Linked DNA regions of Drosophila melanogaster. The protein of the gene in region 2 interacts with the protein of the main gene of each other region in a pairwise test. Each region holds a gene or a part of one and is shown on either strand. Other genes may lie near its edges.

Evidence for each region.
Region 1: the proteins of eyg (region 2) and CG34168 interact in a two-hybrid assay, tested with the Drosophila melanogaster proteins (one large-scale study listed by BioGRID).
Region 3: the proteins of eyg (region 2) and CtsB interact in a two-hybrid assay, tested with the Drosophila melanogaster proteins (one large-scale study listed by BioGRID).
Region 4: the proteins of eyg (region 2) and CG6660 interact in a two-hybrid assay, tested with the Drosophila melanogaster proteins (one large-scale study listed by BioGRID).

Annotation. Positions count from the first base shown.
Region 1 is NT_033779.5:16,134,195-16,137,301, reverse strand, and holds CG34168 (uncharacterized protein), read left to right. Parts: upstream 1-2,029; 5' UTR 2,030-2,140; intron 2,141-2,207; 5' UTR 2,208-2,213; coding exon 2,214-2,396; 3' UTR 2,397-2,588; downstream 2,589-3,107.
Region 2 is NT_037436.4:12,461,999-12,470,031, forward strand, and holds eyg (eyegone), read right to left. Parts: upstream 6,024-8,033; 5' UTR 5,621-6,023; coding exon 5,488-5,620; intron 4,167-5,487; coding exon 3,846-4,166; intron 3,166-3,845; coding exon 3,025-3,165; intron 2,900-3,024; coding exon 2,316-2,899; intron 2,105-2,315; coding exon 1,271-2,104; 3' UTR 539-1,270; downstream 1-538. Other genes in the region: CG32102 (uncharacterized protein), read right to left, coding at 7,159-7,425.
Region 3 is NC_004354.4:13,779,342-13,783,925, reverse strand, and holds CtsB (cathepsin B), read left to right. Parts: upstream 1-1,755; 5' UTR 1,756-1,996; coding exon 1,997-2,116; intron 2,117-2,192; coding exon 2,193-2,453; intron 2,454-2,599; coding exon 2,600-2,767; intron 2,768-3,275; coding exon 3,276-3,749; 3' UTR 3,750-4,079; downstream 4,080-4,584. Other genes in the region: amrt (amaretto), read right to left, coding at 753-1,427.
Region 4 is NT_033777.3:22,921,558-22,925,081, forward strand, and holds CG6660 (uncharacterized protein), read left to right. Parts: upstream 1-1,794; 5' UTR 1,795-1,913; coding exon 1,914-2,300; intron 2,301-2,362; coding exon 2,363-2,794; 3' UTR 2,795-2,968; downstream 2,969-3,524.

The DNA.
Region 1 (3,107 bases), on a different chromosome or scaffold from region 2:
GCAAGTGCTTCGTCAATAAAAGTCCCCATCGCTGGATTATTCAGACAGGCAAGTGACCACAACAGACTTCCTTTGAAGGTATTTTGCCAATTTATTAATCAGAAATCTATTTTTACTACCCGAAAATTTCCTTTGTTGTCGATAGTAATAATTATATTTTAAAGAGTACAGATTGTGTATTAAGTTTAATTTTTATTTATAAGTTACATAAATGAATAATTAATATTTTATGGTTTTAAATTAAATAAAGTTTTCTATTTGACTATGTAGAATCTATGTGAGCACTTGTAGCTTTCCTCATATGTATGTATATTTTAAAATTTATTGTGCAATTATGCATTATTAGTTATGATTAAACATTTTAATGGAGTTTTCTTCCGCTTTTAAGCTGTGAGTTACAAACAAATAAATCAAAAACATAAGAACGGAACCAAAAACTTATCGCTCCAAAACTTCCGCTGCACGGACGCTCATAAAATGGGGGACATTGAACTTCTGAGCGGGCTGAAAAAGGCATTGCTGAAAACTGTAAAAATACCAGCGAAGAAGCCGGAAAAAAACAGTGGAAAAAAGTCACATCAACACGAAACATTAAGCTTCACAGTCACAACATATTCGGCTCTTCGATGCATTTTCCTTAAAGTCGCCATGGAGTTCAAATCGAATGGGAGCGCACGCGCCTGCGAATATGCAATGCTGTAATACGAGACCAACACGCGATGGAGATGATGTTTGGTTACGGAAGGGGATACGGGAATTTTCCCGGGGTATTCGGGGTTCCGGAATCGGAACAGAAAATAAGCTCAACCAGACCCAAAAGGCCACCAAACGAACGGGCTATTTACGAAGGGCGGAAGTGCTTTAATTTAATGTTGGTAAAAGATAAGAAGTTAATCCGATCAAATTTTCTTGGCCTTTCCTTCATTTAATTCGATTAAGTAATAGATGAGATAGTGATGTTGGAAAATCGATGTACATGAGCTTTATAAGTAAATAAACTTGTAAAATGTACAGAATTCTTCATCCTTCAGAGTTTTTTTTACTTATTTTCTTAAACTCATAAAAATTAGGAACTTCGAGATGGATTAATTTACACTCAGCCTTACAGCTTATTTGGGTGAAAACGTGAAAAGTGTTGGGGTAATCGACTCAATTAGCTATTGCATAAGCACACTTTGCACACTCCCGCGCCAGCCAAACAAACACCAAACTCAATTAGATGCCATAACTAAATAATCACAAACACATTTACGCCAGCAAGAGCTCTTTTCAGTTGAAGCAGACCGGTTGGTAACCAAGAAACGTGGCAAAAAAAAAAGAAAAGAAAACAGAGAACCAGGTCAACAACAGAAACAACATGAGCAACAATTTTGAAACAATGAAATGACGACAACGACAGAAGCGGCAAGGCATGCCTGGAAAATTGCTTCCAAATGCTCAGAAGCCAGAGTGGAAATATGGGTAGAGTCGGAAAAGTGGGTGGCCTGGGTGGCTGGGGGACATTCCAACATGTGACGCACGTGACAAAACTTGTCAAGTGACTTTACTTCACTTTGACTGCGAATCCCGGCTCTGTTGTCCGTAAACAAGAAGACGGAATCCCGGCTGTGAAGAAAAATAGGTTTGTGTGCATTGCCCAACACAAAATGCTTAAGAAAACTCTGCTCTTGGTAAAACAATGAAAGGTGGGGCAAAGAGGAAAAATCAGTCGCGGCTTGGCTTTTCCGACTTGTTGCGCCTTCGGCTAAATTATGACATCGAGAGTTTTAGGGGAATGGGAAGTCCTTCGGGACGGACTGAAGTATTTTTGGAGGAGCAATGGAGTGGAATTTTATGGGACACACAAACAATCGGGAACGGTTTTATGAATTAAAATTCTTAAAGCGAATTAGATAAGAGGCTAAGAGGCTAACTGTATATATAGTTAATCAAATTTTAAAATTTGGAAAAAAGCATTTTAAAAGCAGGCCATGAAACCACAACATAGAAGGCCATGAAATCAAAGTTAAATCTGTAGAACTTTGTGGACCAAGCTAGTGGCTTTAGCTCATTATAGTTTCGGTTCTCCAACAGAAAACATCTATTTGTACGACTACCAAATTTCTAGGACTGAAAATCCTACTTCCGTAATCAGGCTAATGTGAGTGTGAACAACAAACGAATTTGTTTCTTGAAAATATCCTCGATTCGTTTCATTTCGTTTTCAGAATAAAATGTGCAATCCAGGAATGTGCTCGATGCCCGGCACTTGCTGTGGACCGACTGGCGGACTGGGACCCTGCCTGCTCTGCGGACCCTACAATGGCCAGTGGTTCCGTTCGGTCAACCACTGTTGCGGTCCTTGTGGCCCATATGGTTGCTGCTCATGCTACGGGCCGTATGGTGGACATTGTTAGCCTGCTTAGAAGGAATGTAGGGTTTCTTTATCCGCGATCTGGAACAGGAGCTTTAAAGATTGCAGCCGTGAGGCCTTGTCGAAGATGAGGAGCCACGCTGAAAAGTTGTCAGGCAAAGTGGATCCAAAGATTTGTGTTCGATGAAAGATTATGCCATCAGAAATAGATGTTAATAAATTATACGTATAATTCAAAAATAGACCACTTTAATTTCACTTCACATGTATTGCTATCAACAGTTAGCAAACCTAATTAAATATTTGGCATGCATTCTGTGGAAACAATCACAAAATTCCATCTCGTAATTTGCCGTTTTTGGTTTTCTTTTCAGTCCGCCGGGTGCATTTAAGGCTAAACCCCATTTGATTGTAAATATTTGGCTCGTTTACGGCTAACGATACATCGGGGACCAGCCAAAAAGACGTGTAATGCTAATGGGCCTGTTGAGTGCAAATTTGTTTACGAGTAAAACACCACTAAAACAGATGGGCTTGCTGATTGCTTTCAATTTTATTTAATCGAGGCACCCCGCATCAGATCGACCAGAAAAATTGATATCGTTAAACATAGTGAACAACAGAAACGGTAAGTTTAAAGAGTATATCATCGTGATACGGCTACTTGGTGCGTTTGAGTGCTTTGCTAAGACTGGGGAAATACTCGTCACTGTTGAGATCAGGAGCTTGAGGTTTTCCGGACATCTTGGATGGA
Region 2 (8,033 bases):
GCTTAGTTGGTTCGGCATTTTTAATCGGTCCCCATACGATACCATATGATACCAAACCATACCATCCATTCTCATCTCCTCGTCGCGTTTAGTCTGTCCCCACTGTGTTTGTGCGCGCGGCTTCATTTGGTTATAATTAAAATGTCGATGTTATCAGCCAGATTTGGACATATTGGCCATTACGTTCGAAATTTAAGCGTTTTCTATGCGCGTATTTTGGATTTGGATTTTTTTTTTTTTTTTTTTTTTTTTTGATTTCGATTTCGTTTGGCTTTTTGTTCTGTCTTCGTTCGGTGTATTAATATTTAATAACGTTTTAAGAAGCTTTCGAGTGTTGTTAAATGCTTATTTATGCTTTTCGGCCGTGTTTGGTGTGTTTGTTTGTTGCCCAGTGTGTTTGAATGGATAATTATGCGTGAAATCGAACGTATAAATTGTATTTGTTGTCAAACCAAAGCGAGTCTATACAAACCGATTTCCTGGTCATATATTTCTGTTTGTTTATTGCCGAAAGAAAGTAAACGATTCTTCATTATTTCTTGCACTTTTTATTGGTTTCTCACTCAGCGGTTGACCATTTTAGTTTTTTTCTTTTATTTGAGCCAAAAACACTTAGTCTACGCACTAAATATCAGTTCAAACGCAACCAACTCAAGAATCAAATCCTTAAACAATACGCATTCATAAATAGATTTGGCTTAGGACTATTTTAAAGTTTAAAGTTACATATAGTTAGATATTGCATATGCTATAGCCTTAAATGGTGATGAGGTAAGTCGGCAGCCGGCGAATGAACAAGTATTATAGTATAATTATGCATAACTATAGGGTATACAATGGGCATGTGCATTTCAAGTGGGACAAGCGTGTTCGTATCGGGTATTAGTTACAATTTCAGCTAATCTTAAGCCGCCCATTATGTTGTTGCTGCTGCTTTCTGCTACATTTTTCTGTTTACTTTTTTCTATTTTTATTTAGTTTTTTTTTTCTTTTTTCTAGCGACCCCGAACCGCAGCCAAGTAGGTGAGCAGCATTTTAACTTTGGTTTTTCGATTTGTTTGCCCACTGTGTGTGTAGTCGCTTCTCGTATTTCAGTCCACCAGTTGCAATTTCAAATGCAATTGCAATTGCATCAGTAGTTGCTGTTGCTTTTGCTGCTTTTGTTTTTGTTGCCACTGTCAATCACAGAGGCGCGCACAACTCAGGTTTTCAATTAGACTTTGCCGCCGCCCATCTAGACCAGGTGGCCCTTGTCGCCCATGTCGCCCATCTAGCGGTCATGCTTTAGGAATTGCAACGTGGCCGGCGCATCGGAGGATGACAGGCGAGCCACCTTTGCCGCCGTTGCCGCCGACGACTCAATTTCACCATCGGAATCGTCGTGCACGTTGATCTCCTCATCCGAGTCCGATGACGAGTTGTCCACCGTCATGGTTGAGCCGCCAGATTGAGTGGTGTTGGTATTGGGTCCCGTGCCCTCACCACCGCTCCCCAAACCACCTGCGGAGTAGTGCAATCTGGAGCGCTGCTCCTCGGCGACCGTTAATGATGCAGCCACGGCATATTGCCTGGCCAATCCCAGGAAGGCAGCCGCCGAGGGCGAGCTCACCAGACTCCTGAAGGCACTACGCTCCCCGCCCATGGAGAGGTGATTCGCCGCCGGATTGCATCCACTGGGTGAGAGTTGCTGTTGTTGTTGATGATGTTGCTGCTGCTGCTGCTGATGCTGCTGCTGTTGTTGCTGTTGCTGCTGCTGGTGGTAGTGGCTGAGCAGCTGGAGGGCAGCTGGATGCGTGGGTAGGTGCAGAGGATGATGGTGATGGTGGCCGCCCGGAGGACCATGCAGTGGGTGTAACAGCACCGAAGGTGGCGGACCCTGTGGCGAGTGGTCACCGCACAGGGGCAACGGCTGCTGAGGTGGCGGCACGGGAGCCACTGGAGCGGAGGTGGAGGCACTGCTGTGGTTACTGGGCGTGGGCGAACTGGCCGGTGCATCGTTCGACTGCTGCGAGTGCAGCGGATTGGCGGGACTGGAGCGCTGACGCTTCAGGAGATTCATGCGTTGGTGGCGACGCCATTTAGCCCGGCGATTGGAGAACCACACCTGGAAAGGGTAGAAATAAATGATATTTAATAAAGATTAGTTATTTGAGGTTTTGGTTAATTGGCTTTGAAAGAGGTAACTCTAATTTCTGATATAAAAGTATTGATTTACTCATTAATTTAAATCAAATGGTATGTAACTACTTTACTAGCCACTTTTAATCTTGCTTTTTGAAAGTTTTGAGTGAAGCCTTTGTTTTCACCTGACTCACCTGAACTCTTGCCTCGCTCAAGCTGGTGCGACTGGACAACCGCTCCCTGGTGCTCACACAAGGATAATGACTCTTGTCGAACTCCTTCTCCAGCTCCTCCAACTGCTCCGGACTGAAGGTGGTCCGATTCCGCCTGAACTTGGGCTCATCATCGTCATCCAGATAATCGGAGTCTATGTGCCGGTTCTCATCCGCTGATTCCAAGGTATCATGGCTGCCAGAGCCAGGGGAGATGGCCCGATTGGTTGGTGTGCCACCTGCTCCGCCGGCCATCAAGTGCGCCGAACTGAGGGAGCCACAAGTGGAGACGGGCACAGCGCTCGCTGCACTCGGAGGCAGATTGGCGAGCGTGGGAGCGGCAACGGACCACAGGGCGGATGGAGGTGGCGGTGGTGGTACCCCCTGGCCGCCGGGCACATTGCCGGCCGGATGCCAGGTGAAGCTACCGTACGGATGAGGGGGTGGCGGGTACAGGCCATAGGCGGCGGTGCGAGCAAACTCGGTGGCCACCCGCTCGGCGGCTCGATTGCGCAGGATGCGATTGATGCTGCTCACCGATGGAGCGGTGGCATTAGTGCAGACACCTGCAAGGCGGGATTACGCAATTACCGAGCAGTCGAAGATCGAGATCAAAAGCTAAAAGCGACCGCCGATCAATCAGCGTTCAATCTGCGTCCGCGGATTAGCTGCAATTATGTGGAACACTCACCCTCCGAAATCAGGCGTTCTCGTATCTCCCAGGCGAAGATCGTTGGATTCTCGCGCTTGTACTGTTCGATCTTGGAGACGACCGTCGGCGTGGCCACCTTGGGCTTTGAGCCACCAATTAAGCCCGGTGGTCGCAGCGAGCCTGCAAGAATCAGAGCACAATTCCAGTTAAATTATGAGACAATGGATTTATGACTTTGCCAGCCTGGTTTTGGCAATCCATCTGTTTTTGGCTGGCAGCAAGGATTAACCCTGGTTGCTAATATCTTTATCTGCTCGTTTCATCAACATGTGATGTATGGAAAATATGAATGGGAAAACAATACAAGCCTTGGCAAATACACTGGTAGAAACCAGAGCAGCTCAAGAATTGGAAAACTTAAAAATGAGTGATTTTAACTACTTAAAGTTACTGTAATGACGGGTTTAAAAGACTTAAAAAATTCTAAACATGGAATAAATGTGATCACATATCCTTATTTGGAATTAAGCATTTTTTTCTTTCAGTGCACGGCAGCACGCACCAACCAACACTACCACCAAGGAATACCCGCTCGTGAATAAGCCGCATTTTGATTAATGAGCCAGCCGCGTTTTGGCCACCGCCAGTCAGGAGTTTATGCAATTTTAAGTGGCCAAATTACACGGCTGCGCACACGAGGGATACGCCACGCAGGGGATGGTAGGGGCAACTCGCAGGATAATAACATGTTTATCATAAAAATTAGCAAACAAATCGAAAACAAAGTACCCATTAGTTATCTGATGAGGGAAGGAACTGAGAAACTGAGCGGTCGTCCCTTTCAAGGGCTCACAACTCACCTAGCAACTTGGAGACAGCTCCCTGCTGGGTTAGCATGTGCTGGGCAATGTCATAGCCACGCAGTCCACCGAAACGTGAGAATTCCAGGAGGCGATGCTGTGACATCAGGGTGTTCAATGTGCTCCCCGTGGGTCCACCTGCACCGTGCGGAATGCCGCCAGTGGAGCCGCCGCCGCCAAAGCCGGGTGGTATTTGCACAGATGTGGGTGATGTGGATGTGGCCCCTCCGCCACCGGCTACCGCTCCCGATCCCGCTCCGGCCGCCGCTGCTGCCGCTGCCGCTGCTGCTGCTGCTGCTGCTGCCACGGATGCCGCCGCTACTGCAATTGAATGATAATTGGGTATTGTTATTTTATTGTGGCTTTAGCTGTCGCGGCCACAATGGTTAATTATGATAAATTAAGCGTTAATTGTGTTGACCGAACCGAAATGACTGATGGGTCCTACGAATATATTAGCGTTTCTATTACCCCAGCAAATGTCTAAGCTGATCGAATGGCCAAAATGGTGGCGACACGCAATCGAATCTTCCAGGCACGAGCAGATTTATCAAGCTAATTGATACGACAATGATCTCTTAGTACAAAAGGCGAAAATTAAAATATGTACTCAGCTGGATACGAAAAGAAAGCAAAAAACAAGTAGAAAAACAACTGTGTATTACGTTAATTCGACAGAATATTATATTTGCCTTCGCTTAAAAAACCTACATATATCATTCGGCTTGGGCAACTCGTCGCTCAAATTGTCAATTAGCGTTTTAAATGCGCGTTTCACTTTTGTTGTTTGTCAAGTAAATATTTTTAAAAAAATACGCGCACCTCCAGTCGTGCCTAACTGAATATACATATATGTAAGTATATGGGCCCATAATCAATTGTGCCGCCCATCAAATGAGAACCAGTTTTGTTTATTTCGGTCTATTTAAAGGTGAAAAGCAAGGAAATGGGACTGTCAAATGAGCCACGCAATTGGTAATGTGACATGCGTAACGATTTGTGTTTGTTTTAACTGAAGATTTAAGTTGGAATAACATAAAACATTTGTTATGAACATACTAAGTACGAACATGACAAATTTTAATCGCTTTCTTATAAATGGCCCACATTGTTTAAACTAGAAATATTATAAAGGATCACACTTATTTTATCTTCTGTTTAAGAAAATAAAAAGGCACTCAAAGTTAGTTTTACATAGACCTTTGTATGATCAATTTGATAATTTACATAATTTATCTACCATATACCATTTAAATAAAAAATTGTTTGTTTTACAGCGAAAAGTTAACACCAACTATATTCAAACTAAATGGATCTGGTTAAGAATTACACATAAACACATTTGACCCAGTTTGATACTTTATTTAATACTTTAACCGAAACACCGTTTTAACACACTAATTTAAACGATGCTTAGTTATTAGTTATACATAATTTCAATAATAGATTTTAGGTTTTATCGCGAAAGAACTAATTTGTTTAAATTAAAATTCGAACATTCCGGATTTGCTATCGAATGACATATTACACCTTTGACCCAGTTTCGGATTTATTTTTTGAAGATTTGTGTATATTTTCTTAAAATCCCCAAGCCTGGCTTTGCCGTCGGCAAGACTTCACATGGGCACTTTGGGGCACTTACCACTGGAAGCGTGAGGGGCCAGCGATGTGATGCGTTGGGGATGGGGCTCCATTTTCCAGTGCGCGGCCGAGAGGCCAGAATTAGCGACAGTAAGCGAGCCAAGGTCACGGTTTAAAGTCGGCTCAATCAACATGTCTAAGAATCGCTCTTTCCAATTCTCTTTATTATTTATTGTTATTTTATATTTGTTTATTTTATTAATTTTATTTGGGTATAACACAATCACAGTCACAAGTGTCGCACATCCAAGGCAGAGGTATCGATTATAGCGAATGCAACCGGAAACGGAAATGGAAACGCAATGCGGTCAATTGGATTCATAGCGTGCTGCTCACTCACACACTCGCATACACACGCACACAGATACACACACAGTGACAAATGCACGACAGTCGATCCCGACAGAAACAGTTAGAAAACGCTCCTGCGTATCTCTTGCTCTTATTTTTATTATAGAATTTGTTTTTATCGAATTTCTTGCGAACACTGCGCTCCGTTGAAACGTTGTTCACGCGAAAGCTGCTCTCAGCACAATGAGCGCTTGAATTTCACCTGGTCACCCGGGTCACTCCGCTCCACTCGAACAGTTTCACTCCGCTTTTGAGTGCTTTTCGAAACGCCAACCGGTTTACGAGTACCGTACTTTCATAATGGCGCCCGTTGAGGCAAACTCTTGCTCTCTCGCTCTTCTGCGCGAGAGCGGGACAACCACATGCACACTATGCGCGCACACAAATCAAACAATTATAAACTCGTTGTTGGTAAAGTGCTGAGTATAAACAGTGGCAAGAAGAAGAAGAAGAAGCAGACGAATGAAGAGCAGTGAGTGTGAGAGAGAGCGAACGCTTTGGGGAAGTGACAAGAAGAAGAACCAGAATAAGAAGAGAAAGAGGAGTTGGGGAACCCTTTAATTTTAACTACAAATGTAGTTGGGATACCATAGCACGTTTGAAGTCAACCTTTAGGTGCATTTCTCGCCTAATGTAATATTCTAATTGATTGAATTAACCGTACAGCTTAAATTGTACCATTTAGGAACATTTAGTTCGTAATCTTTACTGTTGAGTAATGCATTCAATTTATCGTTACTTTAAGCCAGAGACCATGGCCCCAATAAGTAGGCACTTTCAAATACCAACTCTTGATTATCATATCGATCTGTGTACAAATGAGCTACATTTACAAAAGTTCATGCATATGTATAATCTCTAACAATTAAGGCTAAAGACTGAAAAGAAGTTTGGCTTTTTGCTTACACTTCTAAAATAAATAATAATAATAAAATATTTTATTTCGAAATTATTAAAATAGCTGTAATATTGTATCAATAAAATGGCAGTATGGTATGTTTGTTTTACTTTTTATTTGATTCTACTCAGGAGAAAGACAAAAAAATATATATAAATAATTGGTAAATAATACCTCAGCAAAATATAAACATTAGCATTATAATAAAACAGAAAAGCATTAAATTGCTTCCTTTTTGTGGACTTCATAACTACTATTCCGCTTTTAAACTGACCAATTGCAATTAAAACTCGATTTTTAAACATAAACTTATTAAAAGAAGATTTAAGCCTGAAAGTCCTTTTTAAACAAACTAAATCGTTTATTGCATTGAAAGATAACATAAAATGATCGCTAAATAACAATAACTAAAATGCCTGCAATTTAAAAGAGCTTAGTAGCATATAGCCATTTGAAAGGAATTTTAATCCGGTCAAATGTGCAGTGAAGTGGCCAAATTGCATCCATTGCGATCCAGAGTGAACCTTGGACACGTATAAATCGCATGCGTGGCATGGGCCGTTTGCCATTCAGGTTTGCACTGCCCGTTTTGGGTCGTTGTCTCCCGGCCTTTGGTGCGTGATGGATGATTGATGTGCTGCCTGGGCAAGGCAATCCGATGTGAATCGAAACTGCAACTAAACTACACATGGCGTGATCGGGGAGCCACACAGATCACAGCTCGCAGCTCGCAACTCTCAGAACAGAACGGGGCAGAAACGGGCTACACCAAGTGGCAGAGTGGCCTGCACAGAAGCCAAATTGCATCAAAGCCCACGGATTGAGTGGCTCCCGGCGATGCAGGATTCGAATTGGAAGCTGAAAGATGAAAGCTGAAAGCTGAGAGTCGAGTTAAAAAGCAATTACCTGAAATGATTCCCCAATGGAATGAGATGGGATGAGATCAGTTGGGATGGGATGGGATCGGGTGGAAAGAGGAGCGAGTGCAGAAATCTGGATGCGAAACGATATGGTTCAGCAGAATCACCTGGCGATAATGAGATGTCTCACTAAGCTGATCAGAACTGCCTTTGTATTTATTTGTCTGTTCGAATGCAAAGTGCACAATGCACCGAACACTCGTGCATATATGTTTCTTCGATTTGTGAAAGGCGAATCATGAATGAAACGCTGCTGACGATGACGTTCGAGTGCCCTCATGCCAGAGATCCAGAGCAAACGCAAACAATCGAACAGGAATAATTTACTAAGTAAATAATATCTGGATACCGATCGCTGCACGGTAAGAAATTGCGTAA
Region 3 (4,584 bases), on a different chromosome or scaffold from region 2:
TTGTGTATTTTGCATAAATTCCCGGCTAACAATTATATATTTTCGTTTGTTTTATTTATGCACCGCGCAGTGCTTATTGTTGTTGCCGTTTCTTGCGGGAGAGATGCGACGCGCACGCAGCGTCGTCAATGGAGAAAAATAAAAGAGAAAGCGCCCGCTCAGCTCAGCCAGTCTCCGTTGACCGCGCGGTTGGCGAGCTTTCTTGCAACTGACTTTCGAGTTTGAACGCGAAACTTTCGATTTCCATTTCCCGATGGCGAAGGACGATAGCCATCATACGATAACGATAGCCCAATGGAAAGCAGCTGTCGGAAATGCAATGGATCCACTGAACAAATTTTGGAACAGCTGTGGCGCTACATTCGAATTGAACAAAATATACTTTAAAATTAAAAATAAAAACGATTGTGCAAAGTCAAAACGTCCCTTTTGATGCTATGCGGGCATTTTTGCACGGATCAAAGCTGTAGTTTTGGTGTAAGCTAAAAAAACAATTGGTTTAAGAGGCAGTCATTTGATTGTCTTAGGCATATAAAAACTATTTAACTGTACTTCTAAATATTTATTTATCCTTACTTTACATCTAATAGATATGTATGAAATTATTAATTTCAATGATTTTATAACAAAGGTATTTATAATGAAATAAGGGGCAAGTTAATTTAATTTCCTAACACTACGAATTAATCAGTGAACAAGATTAATCTTATTTAACTACTTAAAGCTATGACACAGAGGCATATCACACACGTCTAGACATAGGGATTCCAATTGCTGCCGTCCTCGGGCAGCAAATTGTTGGTGATCAGGAGGATGACGTCGATGATCCACCAAACGCCCACGCCGCCCATGGTAAGCAGTTTGCCCACAGCCGTGCCCGTTTGACCGAGACAGAAGCGATCCATACCGAGGAAACCCAGCAGCATGCTGTAGATCAGTGTGGTCACAAAGTAGTGATCCGTGTAGCGGACACAGGGCACTCCGGCGCGCAGAAAGGTGCGATTACCGTAGCACTCGATGTCGGCAAACACGGTGCACCAGACCATGGCGTGCTCCACCTCTTCGTACGTGGAACCACCGAACTTCAGGCATCCGTATTTCTTTTCCTGCTGCGCCGTGGCGTTCTCCCGATGATCGACGGGATCCTTGCAATCGAGAAAGTCGCGCGGCAGAAACGAGCACATCACATTCGGTCCCAGTGGATAGAAGGCCGAGTTTCCAGCTCCGCCCGAGGCGGAAGATGCCGAAGATGACGATGAGGAGGGTCCCATGCCGGAGCCCAGTTGCGCCTGAACGGGCACCACCGATTGCACCGCCGTGCCGGAGACCACAGTCTGCGGCTGCTCCTTGTCGCTGCGTGCCTGTATCGCTTGGGCATCGTGTTGTCTGGCCACCAGGAACGCCAGTAGTCCGTAGAAAATCCGCATCTTTGCGAGCTCCTTATCAAAATATAGCTAGCCAGTGTGGCCACACCTTAGCACAGCTAACAGAGCTCTGTTATCTGCGATGGCCTACCGATAGTTCTGATTTTAAGCACCACGACAACGAATGGAAATAAATAAATGCAAATAAACCACCTTTCAAGTAACAGTGCTCCTTAGCATATTTATTGGCATTAGTGTGATCGTAGTCTTTAGTTAAGTACATTTAGTGAAGTGCTATTTAGTATAATGCGTTTATTTATTTCAGACTAGTTACCAATCACGCGCCCATCTCTACATTCGATAGGCAACGGCCCTGTTGCATTGGTGTGCACACACTGGCCGCGTAATCAGCGGGCGCGAACCATTTTTTTTTTTTTTTGTGCGACAGAACAAAAACAAGAGAATAATAGACGCTTAAAGAGCATTACCCGTCCGAATTTCACGGGCAGTACGAAAACAAGAACGGAGCAGAGAGCCCGCTTAATACGACGCGTCATTTTCCACCATTTTACTGCTGTGATTTGTTTGAATTTTGCTGTGTCAGCGCATTGGAAATTCGTTGGACAAGAATAATGAATCTATTGCTCCTGGTGGCCACCGCGGCCTCCGTGGCGGCACTCACGTCCGGTGAGCCGTCACTGCTCTCGGATGAGTTCATCGAGGTGGTGCGCAGTAAGGCCAAAACCTGGACGGTAAATTCCTTTGTTTCCAACCCTTTTCTTGCTGACGTGACAAGAAAATTGCATTTTCCCGTTTCCTATCCGCCAGGTGGGTCGCAATTTCGATGCATCCGTAACGGAGGGACATATTCGCCGCCTGATGGGCGTCCATCCGGATGCGCACAAGTTCGCACTGCCCGACAAGCGTGAAGTTCTTGGCGATCTATACGTGAATAGCGTTGACGAACTTCCCGAAGAGTTCGATTCCCGCAAGCAATGGCCAAACTGCCCAACCATTGGCGAGATTCGCGACCAGGGTTCATGCGGCTCCTGCTGGGCCTTTGGTGCCGTGGAAGCCATGTCCGATCGCGTACGTAGCTTACCTTATCGATATTATAACCCCTTCCATTCTTTGTTTGTCCAGCTGATAAATTTCCCCATTTTTTTTTATTATTATTTTCTTTTTGTATTTGTTATCAATGATTTTTTTTTTTTTACTGATTTCGCAATGGGCAGGTGTGCATCCATTCCGGCGGCAAGGTGAATTTCCACTTTTCGGCCGATGATCTCGTCTCCTGCTGCCACACCTGCGGATTTGGCTGCAATGGCGGTTTCCCCGGCGCCGCCTGGAGCTACTGGACGCGCAAGGGAATCGTCAGCGGAGGACCCTACGGATCTAATCAGGTTGGTGATCTTCTCCTGCTTTAATGGGATTTTGCAAATCATATTTAGTTTGGTTTAAAAGGGCTTGCAATTTGGTTTTGCTTGCAGATGAGTTTCCAATAAAAAAAAGGGTTTGTTTTCTAACGAAGAAAAACATACTTTATGTGCAAAAATAACCTGTATTTGTACATATTGTATTTCTACGCCGAAATAGTTAGAAAGCAACTTGATTTTGTTCTTTGTTTACTTGAAGTGAACTGAAGACTCAGTTTACGACGCCATAAAAAATTGTATACCACAGATATCGCTAGAAAGCGGCTTAGTATATCATATACAAACATCCATATACACAAAGCTATATGTATATATATCATATACGAACATCTATAGATATACATGCATATATTGTGAATGCACTCCAGATTCGCGTACATCCTCAACGATAAGTTTTAGCTGCTACTAACTCATTTCCCAGATATAGTAAGGCAAACAGAAGAAAAAACGATTCTAATATGCACTTATTTTGCAGGGCTGCCGTCCTTACGAGATTTCTCCCTGTGAGCACCATGTGAATGGAACCCGACCACCATGTGCCCATGGCGGTAGAACGCCCAAGTGTTCGCACGTCTGCCAGAGCGGTTACACCGTCGATTATGCCAAGGACAAGCACTTCGGCTCCAAGTCGTACTCGGTGAGGCGTAATGTGCGTGAAATTCAGGAGGAGATCATGACCAATGGACCGGTTGAGGGCGCCTTCACCGTTTATGAGGATCTCATTCTGTACAAGGACGGTGTCTATCAGCACGAGCATGGCAAGGAGCTGGGCGGTCATGCCATTCGCATTTTGGGCTGGGGCGTTTGGGGCGAGGAGAAGATTCCGTACTGGCTAATTGGTAACTCGTGGAACACCGATTGGGGCGATCATGGTTTCTTCCGCATCCTGCGTGGCCAGGATCATTGCGGCATCGAGAGCTCCATTTCGGCGGGTCTGCCCAAGCTGTAAATGTTATATGTATTCCGGCATCAAGCTGATATATCAAAACCCCTCTATTTTCTATCATCCCTCCTTTTATTTTCATTCCGATTCGCAACTGACGTTTGTAGTTAATGTAAACAACCTAAACCTGATTGATAATAAAGTATTGTATATGACTGTGGAACTGTACTTTGCTCGTATACAGTGGGACCTCTCTAACTAGAAACAAGGCAAACAAAAAAAAGAAAATGATTATCAAACTGGAACTCAGATATAATTAAAAGCGAATAATACTATTTGTGAAACAATGCTATAACTATCCAACTATAAACTATTGTTTAGCGTAGCTATGCCTTTTTTATTTAATAGTAGAGATTAATAGTAGAGAGTATCTGATCCTCTATACTATGTACACACATTTAAATGGAACGCCGTCAATCGTTCAATCGTTAAACTGGCTAGCTGTATGTTTTGCGAGTTATAAATGTGATTAGCATCGCATTTGATTAATCAAACAAAGAGTACAGCTTGCAATCGCATTCGTCATTTGGTGCGATTTTGTTGAGTTAATTTATTATTACATTAGTTAGCTTGGCCATACATACATACATACATACATATATGTACATACATATGTAAAACTTATCTCGTTGAAGCTGCCCACAATTTGCAGCACCAAATGTCCATTCAAATTGTACACATATTTATTCACATAACATGTTTTATTTATTTTTCTCATTTGCAACATCAAATAGAACATTTGTTTTGTATTTTCAGTTTTTTTTTTGTTATCTTGTCATGAACCAACCGCTTCTCTTATCGATTTTCTGTGAATTGATTGACTGGTTTTGTAGCCACTCTT
Region 4 (3,524 bases), on a different chromosome or scaffold from region 2:
AGAGTTTTTCCTTTTCCTTTGGCCGGGGCATCGCCAAAAAGCCCTATAACCGTGAATCCGCACATGCCCGTATATACGGATATACGGATATACGTATATATCCGCACATTCAACGTCTTGGTCCTTCGAGTCGTATATTTGCATACTTCCGGTGCGCGCAAAATGATTATCATTATTATTTCTGTTGTTTGCTGTTGTCGTTACCGCGGCCATTACCGTTATTGCAACGCCACTGGCAGCGGCTCCTCGCTCCTGAAGTCCCATCGTCCTGTCGTCCTGTAACTCCGAAAATGGCCGCCAATCGGAGGGGAACGTGCGACGGTTATGGCTTATTTGTGCAAATGAGCTGACGTCCATTACATTGTCCGTGGGGAGGTGAAATGCAAATGATTGTTTTGGCGCTGGCTGGCTCAATGTCTGCCGCACAACAAGGTCACCGCAGGAGCCCCAAGGACACTCTTATTCACATGTGAGTGTGTGTGTGTGTGTGTGGGCTGTACACATATCGCATCACTTGCGGCTTAAGGACACGCGAGTGAAAGTAAGTGAAATGGCCTCGCCCAACTTAGCCCACCTGGCCTTGTTTAATAGCCAATAAGGTAAACTTTTCGTACAGATCCTTGATTGATTCTCCTCTATAAATTGGCACATTTACTTATCGAAATAAACTGAAGCTCCTTAACTGTAAACTTTCGACCACAAAATGCTTGCCAAGTTTGCACGTTGCGCAAACAAATTGCACCTGCTTCAGGTTGATTAGCCACCTGCAGCCCATCTCCTTTGCTACTTTGCTCCTTTGCTCCTTTGCATGGCCCTCGGTTTGCGCTGCAAGCCAGGTCGTAAAACACTTTTGCCTATTTCGCTGAGTTGGCTCGACTGCGATCTCCAGCTCCTCTTCCAGTTCATCTAGCTCCTCCAGCTCCCGCTGCTCTTGCTGTTGTTTTTAAGAGCCATTTGTCCGATGCCCGCGGCTATTTACAGCCATTGTACAGACTTGGCGAATTTATCAAGCATGGCGGAGTCGCTCAGTGGGTCACTGGATGGTGAATGTTGGTGAACTGGATTCGGGATGCCGGATACTAGATGCTGCAGCTGACGTTACCGCCATTTTTCCGCTTTTCCTTCACTTCGCTTTTGGCTTAATTTCAAAACAGTTGCGCTTATATTGGCAGTTATGCTGCAAATTTATTGGCATGCTTTGTAAACTGGGTTAGTTGCATATATCTCGCAGCCGCAAGCTGCGAGCCAAACGATTAACGTTGAGTAACCCAAATTGATGTCACCACCCATCGACCGCAGCTAACAGCCCGCACCACCCACCGCCACCAACATTTGCCCGCTGGAGCATCATTTTTTCCCACTCAGCAAAGTTTCCGTAGCGGCTGGTTATAGCCCATAAATTCTCATACATTGTCAAGTAATAGCTAAACCCTGTTTACCCCCTGACAGGCACAAGTTCATAGAGATAAAGAAAAAATGTGGCACAATTTGGTCACAACTTTTTTAGAAAAGAGATAACCAATTTCTTTTCATAGTGAGATTGCTTAGGTCTTTTAAGAAATTTCAACTATGGAAAAGATGATCGGCACTTGATCTTGAAAGTGTGGTTTTATGCCCCGTTTTCCTTCAGTGTTTTTTGAGCGTAAACCCAAAGCAGTTCCAAGTTTATAAACCGGCGACAAAGAACGAGAATCTCTCTGGCAGTGCAACGCCTGACACGGGTTAATCCGGTATGCGTGGTGCTTCTCATTTAACGGTCATTAACATAGCCAGCCGGAATGCTTGGATAGACTGTGCTTTCGAGCAGTTCCGTTCAGAAGACTGAAGACCCTCGTGTCTCGTGGACTGCAAATCGCTTTCCGGCAGTTCGGCAGGGAGTATTTTTGAATCGAGGATCCAGAATGCGGCACAACATGGTGGCCTACCTGTACTGCCTGGTCAGGGATCTGTACGCCGAGCACGGAGATCCCCGAGTGGCGCACTTGCCCCTGCTGGGCAATCTATGGATCGTGCTGGCCATTGTGGCGCTGTATGTGGCCTTTGTGCTCCACTACGGACCACGTTGGATGGCGAACCGTGCTCCCTTTGAGCTGAAACGTGTGATGCAGGTGTACAATGTGGTGCAGGTGCTGGCCAATGCCACGATATTCGTCATTGGCCTGAGCAACACCTACCTCCAGCCGGGATACAGTTGGACCTGCCAGCCAGTGGATCACACGGACAGATCACCGGCCATGATGAAGACATTGTACGCCTCGTATGCGTACTACATGCTCAAGTATCTGGATCTGCTCGACACGGTTAGTTGGGGGCTATATACCGTCTATATACCTTCTATACCCATATACAAATGCATTCCCAGGTATTCATAGTGCTGCGCAAGAAGAACTCGCAGGTGAGCTTCCTGCACGTGTATCACCATGGCGGCATGGTCTTCGGCGTGTCCATCTTCATGACCTTCCTGGGTGGATCACACTGCAGCATGCTGGGTATAATCAATCTCCTGGTGCACACGGTGATGTATGCCTACTACTATGCCGCCTCATTAGGCGCGGTGAAGAATCTTTTGTGGTGGAAGCAGCGGATTACACAGCTGCAGCTGATGCAGTTTGGCTACCTCACCTTTCATTTCCTGCTCGTTATTGTCCGGAATCCGTGTCAGTTTCCCGTGTTCATCGCCTTCATCGGCTTCATTCAGAACATCTTCATGTTCTCCATGTTCTTCGACTTCTACTGCAAGACCTACATACGCAAACAGCGCAAATCGGCGGAGCACAAGCTGAAAGCCAGCTGAGCTGTACTGCCGTTGAAAATGAGGTTCAAGTTCGCGCCGCGTCATTTCCATATTAAATTGTGTAATAAGCTGGTCGGTCGCTTATGCAAATGGGCACCGATCGAACCCAAAATGCCTGGTATAAATAAACATTTCGGATTGTTTCCCAACCCCTCCGTTTCATCGCCACAAAATACATATCGCTCAATTGTTTTGCTTTTGTAATCAATTTCAATTTGCCAGCGGCTAGATTCGGAGGCTCCTTAAACTTTTCTCGAAAACTTCTTAACCGCCTGGGAAAATCGAAATGGAGCACGGAGAGCGAAGGCGGCGACAAGTTATGAAGTAAGTTAGCCGGGCATATCTTTTATTAAAGGGTTAAATGAAATATCGATGAAGTCGGCACCAGTTATGGCCGCCACGTGTTCCCGACCCACATTTCTCTATATGCTTCGGCCATGTGTCGCATGGGCCCCTGGGCCACCTTTTAACTTTCTGGCCAGCGTTGTTTTTTTCTGGCCCCCTTTTCAAAGCCAAAGAGTGGAAAAACCAGCTAGCACACCCACAGTGTTACCCCATGTTGAACACATTTGCCTAGAAGGCTGCCTCATTCATATTTTTTCCCCCTCTTTTTTTTTGTTTTTGCCATGGCATTTTTTCTTTGCCAGAAGTTTTACATCTGCTTTCGCTCCCAAAAAAAAAAAAAAAATGGAAAACCAAGGGGCGAAATGAGGGAAACCGCTTTAAAAAT